Macaca mulatta: one gene and its partners. The protein of the gene in region 1 interacts with the protein of each later gene in a pairwise test. Links are inferred from orthologs where the notes say so. Each region holds a gene or a part of one and is shown in the gene's direction. Other genes may lie near its edges.

The links.
Region 2: the proteins of FAM9B (region 1) and FCHSD2 interact in binary tests that used the Homo sapiens proteins (3 or more experiments, as listed by UniProt). The two-hybrid records come from large-scale screens. The link is inferred for Macaca mulatta from reciprocal best matches to the Homo sapiens genes FAM9B and FCHSD2.
Region 3: the proteins of FAM9B (region 1) and SLPI interact in binary tests that used the Homo sapiens proteins (3 or more experiments, as listed by UniProt). The two-hybrid records come from large-scale screens. The link is inferred for Macaca mulatta from reciprocal best matches to the Homo sapiens genes FAM9B and SLPI.

What each region holds. Positions count from the first base shown.
Region 1 is NC_133426.1:8,568,707-8,572,456, reverse strand, and holds the start of FAM9B (protein FAM9B), read left to right. Parts: upstream 1-888; 5' UTR 889-1,155; intron 1,156-1,912; 5' UTR 1,913-2,001; coding exon 2,002-2,029; intron 2,030-2,529; coding exon 2,530-2,650; intron 2,651-2,829; coding exon 2,830-2,861; intron 2,862-3,750. UniProt on the Homo sapiens protein: May play a role in meiosis.
Region 2 is NC_133419.1:73,226,670-73,230,319, reverse strand, and holds part of FCHSD2 (F-BAR and double SH3 domains protein 2), read left to right. Parts: intron 1-134; coding exon 135-239; intron 240-3,650. UniProt on the Homo sapiens protein: Adapter protein that plays a role in endocytosis via clathrin-coated pits. Contributes to the internalization of cell surface receptors, such as integrin ITGB1 and transferrin receptor.
Region 3 is NC_133415.1:98,092,692-98,096,441, reverse strand, and holds the start of SLPI (antileukoproteinase precursor), read left to right. Parts: upstream 1-1,485; 5' UTR 1,486-1,507; coding exon 1,508-1,592; intron 1,593-2,314; coding exon 2,315-2,473; intron 2,474-2,893; coding exon 2,894-3,043; intron 3,044-3,621; coding exon 3,622-3,626; 3' UTR 3,627-3,750.

The sequences.
Region 1 (3,750 bases):
ATTTACTCCTAACTCCAAAACAACTCTCCCCCTATTATAGGCGACTGGAGGTGGGAAAAAGCTGAGTTAACGATAAGTATTAAGGCATTAATTTGTGGGTGAAGGTTGTGGCATATGTCTGCATAAGTCTGGAGCATGAGGGTTTGTGGGCAAGTCTGGGGCATGAGGATGAGAAAGAAAAGTAGTGAGGAAACAAAAATGGTTATGGGCAGGGCACGGTGGCTCATGCCTGTAATCCTAGCACTTTGGGAGGCCAAGGCGTGCAGATCAACTGAGGTCAGGAGTCCGACACCAGCCTGGACAACATGGTGAAACCTCGTCTCTACTAAAAAAAAAAAAAAAAAAAATTAGCAGGGCTTGGTGTTGGGCTCCTGTAATTCCAGCTCCTTGGGAGGCTGAGGCAGGAGAATCACTTGAACCCGGGAAGCCGAGGTTGCAGTGAGCTGAGATCACCCTGCTGCACTCCAGCCTAGGCGATAGAGTGAGACACAGTCTCAAAAACAAACAAAAACGATAAAAGCACAATCCATTGATTGAAAAGGATGCAGCTGGGCATGTTGGAAGCACACAGGGCATGGGAGGGAGCCTGGGCCCAACCCATAGGATGATGGCCATTCTAGCCAAAGGGGCAGGGGTGGCTGGAAAGAGCCCCAGGGCGAGGTTCTAGGCCCTGTCCACTTGGCCTCCATACCAAGTCCTGTGTCCCTCCCCAGGAGCAGAAGCTGAAAGAATGTGGGAACAGAGGCCCCAAAGGGCCAACCCCACCTCAGTCCACAGCAACCACTTGCTGTCACTTAGGGGAAGGGGGAGGGCGTGCCAGCAGGGGGCGTGGCCCCACACGGCCTGTCACACGCATGTGCACTGAGTCGACCAATCTGCGAGGAGCGTAGGAAGTGCTGTCGGCAGCTCTCACGAGAACTGAGTACTTGTTTTCTTTTTTGTTTTTTGTTTTTTGTTTTTTGTTTTTTGAGACAGTCTGGCTCTTGCCGCCCAGGCTGCAGTGCAGCCGCGCGATCTGGGCTCACTGCAACTTCCGCCTCCCGGGGTCAAGCAATCATCCTGCCTCAGCCTCCTGAGAGGACCCGTTTTCTAAGAGATCCTAGTGGTGCTGTTGTCTGCAGGTTCTTTGAGGGCGCCACATCAGGGGTCCCTCAGGTGAAGCGCTCGCGGTGGGGAGGCGGAAACGCAGGCACGAGGCCCTCTGGGAACCAGGGTGTGAAGCGCTGGGCCGCCCGCTGACCTGTGAGGAAATGCCCCTGGCGTGGTCGCCTGGGGCCTGGGTCAGGGCGAGGCCCTGAGGGTGGGCTGGGGTGGGCCAGGGCAGGGAGGGAGCTGGAGCCGCCTGGGTGATCCCTAGGGCCCAGGAGGGCTTGTGCATGTGTTGGGGGGAGGTGCGGAAGGTGGGGGGAAGTGGGGGTGGGGCGAGGGTGTTGTTGGGGACAGTCTGAGTGGGGCCCTCCTGCCCGGCCTCCCGTCAGGACAGGACACTTGGGGTCATCAGGGGTCCCCTGTGCATCCAGGCGGGTGAGTGACAGTGCAGCCCCTGACATTCCTCTGGAGGTGGCTGGGGAGATCCTGTGTCACCCGGTGGCCCTCCCAGCCACACGGGGTCGCTGGGGGACCCAGAGGTAGGGCTGAGTTCTGTCCCAAAGGTGCGGCGAGGATCCCGCAGACGCCGTGGAGTTCAGGTGTGAGGGGCAGCTGTGAGCTCTGCAGCCAGCCCCGGGGACGGGCTGGACGGGCTGGACGGGCCAGGACAGGAGGGGACACTGGCATCTTTTCGGTCCCCTCCTGCTCCCACAGGAGACCCAGGGCGTGCCAGCCCCACCCTTCTTGAACCTGTGATCCCAATGGCTTTCCTTTCCGATGCCAGGGTTCCTTTGCTTCCTTAGTGTGCCTTTGCCCTCATCAGGTTCAGGGATCACCTGTAGCTTCCCAGGACAGCCAGCCACGGATCCTGTGGGCAGGAGGGCTGCCAAGGCCCAGTTGGAGGCTCAATTTATGGCGGCCCAGGGGAAGGAGCGTGCAGGTAAATACAGCCCAAGGTGACCCGGAAGAAAGTGCACGCCCAAGAGGACGGTCTGTCTGCTTTCTGCGCTGGGGGCACAGGGGTAGCCCAAGGACCCGGGCCCCTTCGTGGCTTTGGAGTCCATCGTGCACGTGCTAAGATGCCCCAGGTTTTCAAAGCAGGCTCAAGGGCCTTAGGCTTCCCGTGAAAGGCTCCCCTCATAGCGGGGTTACAGATGCTCCCAGAGCAGCTCTTCTCCATGAGTGCAGTCATGACATCCAAGGGGTCTGACGTGTAGTATGTTGTTTACTGGGACTTGAACCCGAAGGGCTTCCAAAAGTGCCTTGATAAAATGGTCAGAAGCCGGTGATTCCATGTACAGCTCTGCTTTAAAGCCTTAATTGGCAGATAGCCAAAAAAAAAAAAAAAAAAAAAGTCTACAACAAGTACATTTCTCCACAAAAAAAGTCCACAACAGTGTCTTCCTCTAAAAAAGGTTTGTCTTTTAAATTTTAATGCAGGAAAGGATCCAGTCAGTGACGAATGTGAGGAAAGAAACCCTTTTACAGAAACAAGGGAGGAAGATGTAACTGATGAGCATGGGGAAAGAGAACCTTTTGCTGAAAAAGACGAGCACACGGGGTAAAGTGTTTAAGTCACTTTTGCCTGTGGGATAGGGTCTTTTAGGAAAAGTCACCTTTGGACCATGTCATCACTGTTCTATTCTGTGCAGAACATTTCACATAAGACATTTCTTTTCCCAACAAACATGGCATTTTGTGTAGTATTATGCTAAAATTTTGATGTAACTTTTTTTACAGGGCTAATACCAAGAAGCCAGAAGATACTGCAGGTATATTTTAGGAGTTATCTGTCGTTTATGAAAATTGTTTTCAATCATGCAACTGTTGCAGTAAGTTATATGAATCAGTGGATGACAAGACTGTCTTAAATGGCTTATCATATGTAGCATTTAACATACGTATTTAATGTAATCTGTTTGATAAATTTTTCTTACCTCTTTGATTGTTGATGTGGAATGTGAGAATGCTTCTAATAATGGTGAAGCGAGATGGATGGCTTTTCTTTCATACACGTGGAAATTTAATTGTTTGGAGAATATTAGAGGACATTGGAGGAGAAACAGCTCTATTCGTTCCTTTTAGTGTACGCAGATTAAGTCATATATCAGGTTTTTTTTAAGCTTTCACTTTAAGTTTGGGGGTACATGTGCAGGTGTGTTATATAGATAAATTGCATGTCACAGGGTTTTGGTATACAGATTATTTTGTCACCCAGGTTATAAGCATAGTACCTGATGGGTGGTTTTTGATCCTCACCCTCCTCCTACCCTCCACTCTCAAGTAGGCCCAGTTGTCTGTTGGTCCCTTCTTCCTGTCCATATGTACTCAGAGTTTTTAATATGAGTTTTTCATGTTCTTAATTTAGCTATTCTATTGTCACAGCTTTCTGATTTTGTTTTATTTGAAGTACAAGAGAAAATTGAATTCTCTAAAATCATTTTCCATTATTATTCCAGTAATAAACTGTGTAGTACAAAAGGACAACTTTTCTATCTAGTGAGAAACATGTAATTGGATCCAAAAACTCATAAACTTTATATTGCTGTGTGAAATATTAGTTGCACTGTTATAGGGACCATATTTTCAAAAAAGTTTGAGAAAATTTCTGTAAAGATGATGGAGACAATACTCTTACTTTTGAAAAGCTCAATTCAGTTT
Region 2 (3,650 bases), on another chromosome or scaffold:
TCAAAAAATAAATAAATGAAAAAAATTGTGGCTACTAGTCACTAAAGCCTTTTGAATTATGTAAATACTCTAATCACTTAAGGAAGATAAAAAGTAAAAAACAGTCATCATTATTGTCCCATTTTTTTTAATAGGTTCTAGATGATCTGGAGTGTCATGGACCTGCTGTATCAGAACAAAGCCGAGCAGAGCTGGAACAGAAAATAGATGAAGCTAGAGAAAATATTCGTAAAGCAGAGGTAAGGTGGCAGCTAACTGTGGCATTTTGCCCAGGTCTAATGACACTGTCGCAACTGTGATATGCACCTTTAAAACTGAGTTGCTACACACACTGAGATGAAGGTGATTCACCGTCTTCATTCGTGTCCACAGTAGGATTTTTTTTTTTTTTTTTTTTTTTTTTTTGAGACGGAGTCTCGCTCTGCTGCCCAGGCTGGAGGTGCAGTGCACGATCTCGGCTTACTGCAAGCTCCTCCTCCCAGGTTCATGCCATTCTCCTGCCTCAGCCTCCCGAGTAGCTGGGACTACAGGCGCCTGCCACCACGCCCAGCTAATTTTTTTTTGTATCTTTTTAGTAGAGACGGGGTTTCACCATGTTAGCCAGGATGGTCTCTATCTCCTGACCTCGTGATCCACCTGCCTTGGCCTCCTAAAGTGCTAGGATTACAGGCGTGAGCTACTACACCCGGCCATCCACAGTAGTATTTGTTAAGTACCTGCTCTGTGGAAGGCAGTACATATAACAAAAAGATGCTGTAAAGTTTACAGTCATGAAACATTAAATACAAAAGATTTAAGTCACAATGAAGATACTAATTTTAAAATTTCTACAAGGTACATAATAAACCACAGAGATTAATGGTAGAAAAATCGACGTATGTGTATCAATTTAGAGATATATATCAATTTAGATATATCTATCTCCTTATATATCAATATATATGGAGATATATATACATATATATTCATACATATATATTCAGAGCTTGGGAAATCTCCCCCATATGGAAGGTTCCCTGGATCCAGGGACATGAGCTGGGCTTTTAAGAATAGGGAAGATTTGGTTAAGCAAAGATGGGAAAAAATTTATAATAGTGGATTTTAATTTTTTATGGAGTCTTGGGACCTTTGAGAGTTGTATGAAAGCTGTGAAACATTCTCTCCCACGTACAAAAATGTACATTTTGTATACGGTGTTTAGAGTTCATATGCCTGAGGCTAATACTCTCTGCTCTAGATGGGGAGAGGTTGGGATAGGAAACAAGAAAGTATTAGCAAATGAGGAAGACACAGGGTATAATTTGGTAGCTGGATAGATTAGAGTGGAGGATTTTTGTGAGGAAATGTGATAGAAAATAAGTAAACTTGTTGTGGTTAGGGCCAGTTCATGGAGGACCCGTGCACACACTATCTACTCAGCAGCAACATGATGAAGGGGTATAGAGATAGACATTCATAAAAGACTGACACCATCCAGCCATCAAAAGATTATGTTCTTGTTAGAAAGGCATAAAGAATGCCAAAAATAACTAAGATGGTAAAGCATAAGTGCCGAGGAGTGGTGCATTAAGTGTAGTTGAAGAACCCAGAGGACACAGAAATCACTCTGGGAGGGATTGTTTTGGGTGTAACACAGAAGAAGACTTAAGATGAATACTGGCAGATGAATAGTATTTGATTAGTCAGATAAAAGGGGATAGCACAGACTTATGCCATGTAACTTCAAGAGGAAGAACTTGAACCAAAAGATGAAGGTAGGAAAGAAGTAGATGTGAGTTTAGTATTGGGAAATACTTTCTAGTAGTCAGATCTTCCCAAAGACAGGATAAGCACCCGTGAGACATAGTGTAGCCCTGTAAGTGTGTAAGAAAATTGTGGGCAAGCATCTTTCAGGGACCCAATGCAAGGAACCCCTGCATTGGTTTAGGGTTAATCTAAACTAGTGGTTTTCTAGCACCCCCTTAGAACTCTAGAAGTTTTGAGGAAGTGCTTCACTGGTTGTGGCGTGAAGCGAGAGGCAGCATAGACAAGCATAGAGAATATGGGCATGTTTTTGGCACAGCCCCATGGAAGTGATCTGAATCAGAACAGGCTTGCCATCTGCCTGGGCTGGAGAAACCCCAGTAACCCCACCTCCACTTCATTCCTGTTCACAGTCTAATTGGCAGCCTCCATAGTGAGGAGGGCAGGGTGTACAATGAATAGTCATTTTTCTCTTTGAATTCAGGGTCGTGTCTAAACTACTATCTTAGAGTGCTGGCCAAGTAGTGTTGGCAAGCCCTCCCCTACTCTAAAGAAACACTGGCATGTGGTAGAAGAGTTATTCCTGTTGTTTGTTTCTCCGCGCTCTAGATGAAGCCAGTTTTTCAGAGCCTTGGTGGAACAGGAGTAATTATTTTGAGACAAGTCTCAGAGGTTTTCTGAAGGGTATTTCATGTATTTTCCATTTCCAGACTCCATGTGTGGTGTCACCAACTGGTACCCTAACTCTACAAAACCTCCCACCATCCCCAGTAGTAGCAGCAGTAGGTATCAGGCACACAGAGTCTTCATTTAGGCCAAATGACCTATTATTTCCATAGTATGCCAAACTAGACTGTGTTTGTTAGTTTCAAACTAAAAATATGAAGTGAAATTCTCATACCACAATGTCTCACCTTTTCTGATGCAAGTATTTAAGTCTACATTCTCAAAGATAGTTTTCTTATCAAGAATGTTGAATATAGTATGCTGAAACCATGACAGCAGATCCATTTTCTCAATTTGGAATATCTGTAGCATTTAATTAATTTTACTGTTAGCATAAAATAATCTCTCACTTGGTTTCCACTTATCAGATACAAAAAATAACCTAAGTAAAATTAGCCAGCAAATATGAGGGCATATTTATTGGGGTAGTACTTACAGGATTATCATAATAAAATTTTTGGATAGACTGGACCATGAGAGTCTTCAAAGGAATTAACAATAATGGTTTGTGCACATACCCTTTTCCTTTCTTCTGCCTGTATGTCATTTGCATTGGTTTTTCTCTTTCATTCGATACTTTATTTATTATAAATACCTATACAAAAGAGAGAACATTGGTTATATAAAATGTGAGACCTCATTACTGCAAAGTTAATGACAAGAATGACCCCGATATTAAAACAAAATGTTTAGGCCGGGTGCGGTGGTTCATGCCTCTAATTCTATCACTTTGGGAGACTTGAGGTGGGAAGATCTCTTGAGCTCAGGAGTTTGAGAGCAGCCTGGGCAACAGATGAGACCTCATCTCTATTAAAAATGAAAATAAATTAGCTGGGTATGGTGACACATGCCTATAGTCTCAGCTACTTGGGAGGCAGAGGCTTAATCCTGGAAGGTTGGTCTGCTGTGAGCCATGATTGGGCCACTGCACTCCAGCTTGGGCAACAGAGCAAGACTATATATATATATGATCTTGTATATGTATAAGATCATATATATACACACACACACACATATATATTTCATATATATATATATTTCTAATCACATTATTTCCAAATTTACATTACCTCTGGGCCTGTTACTGTGAGGTTTCACTGTATTCATGCTATGTTAGCAGACCTCTTGACTGATCGCTTTTATTTTTTACTGAAAATATTCAAACATACAGAAAATATGAA
Region 3 (3,750 bases), on another chromosome or scaffold:
CAGTTGACTGTCTGGTTGTGGAATACTTAAATACTTCATGTGGGGCTGTCACTACTTGATAATGAGTGAGTCTTTCATGTCTGTGAAAAGTTCCACAAACATTCACTTTAGGAATGAATGGGAGAATTCTAAGCATGAAGATAGTGAGTCAAGAGCTTAGAGTTTGCAGCCAGATGAGCTTTGGTTGAATTTTATTTTATTTTATTTTATTTTTTTAAGACAGAGTATAGCTCTGTTCCCTAAGCTGGAATGCAGTGGCATAATCATGGTTCACTGCAGCCTCAAACTCCTGGGCTAAAGCCATACTCCTGGCTCAGCCTCCCAAGTAGCTGGGACTGCAGGCATACATCATCATGCCTGGCTAATTTTTAAAATTTTTTTGTAGAGATAGGGTCTCAATATCTGGCCAGGGCTGGTCTCAAACTCCTAGTCTCAAGGAATCCACACACCTCAGCCTCATGAGCAGCTGAGACTGTATGTATGTGACCCTACACTCAGCTATGGGCTGAATTTTAGAGATAATGATGACTCTCTTTATAATTAGAAGCAATCTATGCAGATTGGGTAGCATATAGAACGAGTTTAATTTTTTGCTGTCATGTGAGATCTGTAAGGGTTTTTGGGGAATTTTAGGAAGCAGTCCTCTAAGATCTCAAATTATCTCATAGCTAAATGTTGATTACAGTGACTGATGAGCTGCTTTCCCCCTTTATCTCAGATTCATTTCAGTTCTCTTTAGTGGGAAGGGATACAATTCATTTATTCTTTTCAGAGTCCCTTCATGCCCTTAATTTCATAACCCTCTGAGAAGGGCTGACTTGTTAGTATCATTTCATTTCACAGCTGAGAAAACTGAGCTCTGAAGAGATTTGCTGAGAGCAGAGCTCTTCTTCAGCTTTCATTTGTTGAGTGAATGCTTTTCCTGTGACAGGCACTGGGGATAAACGGTGTAAATATTTCAGGGAACTAAGTATCGGTTGGTTGAATGAGCTGAACTTTTGAGAAAGAAACTGCATTGAGCATTCAGCAGAGTTTCACAATGCCTTAGAGTCTAATAATGTGAAAATCAGAATTCGTAATGTGAGAATAGGATGTAATGCACGAAGTCTCAGCTGGGGGTCTGCATCTGGTTTCAGTTCCAGGTCCAGGTAGCACCTTTGCAATTGACCACTTCTTCCCCTCTCCACCTGTAAGGCTAATGGCCTGGGGTCTCGTGATGTTTAGGGCTCAGATGGACACTGAGATGGCCTCTTTAATCAGCCAACCTCTCAGGCCAACCTCTTCCCTTTCTTTTCTGGTAATTACTGTATTGGCCTCAAAGCCTCACCTGGCATAGGAAAGATAAACCGTCTCCTTGGTGCCAGGATTTCTGGTCTCTGGCTAAGCTTCCTGCTTATGCAATAGTAGCTGGGAGAGGCCAAAAGAATTCTGGTTGGGCCACACCCACTGGTGAAAGAATAAATAGTGAGGTTTGGCATTGGCCATCAGAGTCACTCCTGCCTTCACCATGAAGTCCAGTGGCCTCTTCCCCTTCATGATGCTTCTTGCCCTGGGAACCCTGGCACTTTGGGCTGTGGAAGGCTCTGGAAAGTGTAAGTTGGGAGTCATTCTGGTCTAATCTGGGCTGCAGGGTCAGAGGTGCGGTCTCCTGGTGATGTGGGTGTGTCCCCTTCTGTAGGCTCTGATCTCTCAGCTTAGTTTCAGGAGACCTCCCTGAGAGTGGAATACATGTCTGGCTGAGCTCCAAGGTTTCTGTGAGGGTTTCTGAGCTTCTGGAAATGCTTTTTCTATGCAGCCATGCTGTCGGCCCAGATCCCACTCTCTCTCTCTCTCTGTCTCTCTCTCTCTTATCCTCTGCCTTCTTCACCTGTCTGCGACTCTCAAATCATTAGTTTCTGACTCTGCTTCTTCTTTGTGTCTTCGCTTCTGCTATTTTGTCTCTGTGTTTCTGCCTTGGGCTTTAGCTCTCAACTTCTCTCACACTGGTTCTATTTATCTTTGTTTATCTGTCTCCATCTCCATCACTCCCAGCCTTCCTCTCTGCCTTTGTGTAGCCCTGTTTTGCTCTGGGGTGGGAGGTCTTGACTAGAAGCCTGCTGCCCTTTTCTTGGGTCTGAAACATCCCCTGTCCATTTGTCCAATTTAATCAAGCCCATCAATCCACCCGGAGATCAGGCAGGCATGACCCTTTGGGCTTTGTGGATAGCTCCTGAGGTAAGGGTCTCTCCCCCTCAAAAGTGGTGCTTTGTTCAGCAGGCATGATGACTTCTCAGTGCCCAGCCTACTCCTGACCTCTTGACTTTCTCTTCAAAAGCCTTCAAAGCCGGAGTCTGTCCTCCTAAGAAATCTGCCCAGTGCCTTAGATATGAGAAACCTCAGTGCCAGAGTGACTGGCAGTGTCTAGGGAAGAAGAGATGTTGTCCTGACATTTGTGGCATCAAATGCCTGGATCCTGTTGACACCCCAAGCCCAAGTAAGCAGATCGGGGAACTGGGTAGAGAGGAGTGAGCCTGAGGACACAGCATTAGGGGGATGGCACTGGGTGATGGGTCCTGCCAGGCCTCCTTGTCAATCAGTCAATGAGTCACATGCCCTAAGGAGGAAGGTAGCCAGCAGGTGGTGAAGCAGCGGGCATTTAGATAGTCAGGTAGTTGGAAGCCTCCCACCTAGTCAGCACTGGACGACTGGCCCCCTGCATCAACGGGGGCCTGATGTTCTAGGACAGCCAGGTGCTATGTTTGGGGGGTGACTTACGGAGAAAGTGGTGGTGATAGAGATCGGGGGGGATGATCCGACCTGCTCAGGTTGCAGCAGGGGCTCACTCTAAAAAGTGGAGATAGGAGGGGTTGTGTAAAGTACAAGGCCTCTGACTGGTAGCCTCACTCTCACCCAGCGAGGAGGAAGCCTGGGCGTTGTCCACCAGCTTATGGCCAATGTATGATGCTTAAACCCCCCAATTACTGTGAGATGGATGGCCAGTGCGAGCGTGACTTGAAGTGCTGCATGGGCATGTGTGGGAAATCCTGCGTTTCCCCTGTGAAAGGTAAGCAGGGGCCGAGGGCACACTGAGCTCCCTCCATCTCAGCCTCAACCCTCTGGAGGCCCAGGCATATGGGCAGGGGGACTCTTGACCCCTATTCCAAGCAGAGCCTCTGTCTGACTCCCTTGTCCTTCAAGAGAACTGTTCTCTAGGTCTCAGGGCCAGGATTTCCATAGGATCACCTGTGGCTTTGATTCTATTCTAGTGTCTCTGGGTGGGGGTCCTGGGCAAGTGACTTTCTGAGTCTCAGTTTCTTTATCGGTAAAATGGACATAATGAGATTGAAAGTGCTCTGCAAAGCACTATGTGCACTAAGAATTTATTATTCAGGTTGTTTCCGTCATGTTTTCTGAGGTTAAATCCCAAACGATCCGTGGAGTTTGAGGATTATCTAATTCAATGCTTTCAATTTAGAGTTTTACGGTGAAAATGAGACTTGTCTCCTGACACTAAGTCTCTCTCAACTATAGCACTATCTTGCTATTTTCTTTATCTCAGGAGGATCCTTGGGCAGAAGGAAGGATGTGAATATGATTTGGCTGATTTCTATGCTGAAGCTCTTATCTGATTTTCTCTCACAGCTTGATTCCTGTGATTTGGAGGAGGCTCTGGAGTCCTGCTCTGTGTGGTCCAGGTCCTTTCCACCCCCAGACTTGGCTCCACCACCGATATCCTCCTTTGGGGAAAGGCTTGGCACACAGCAGGATTTC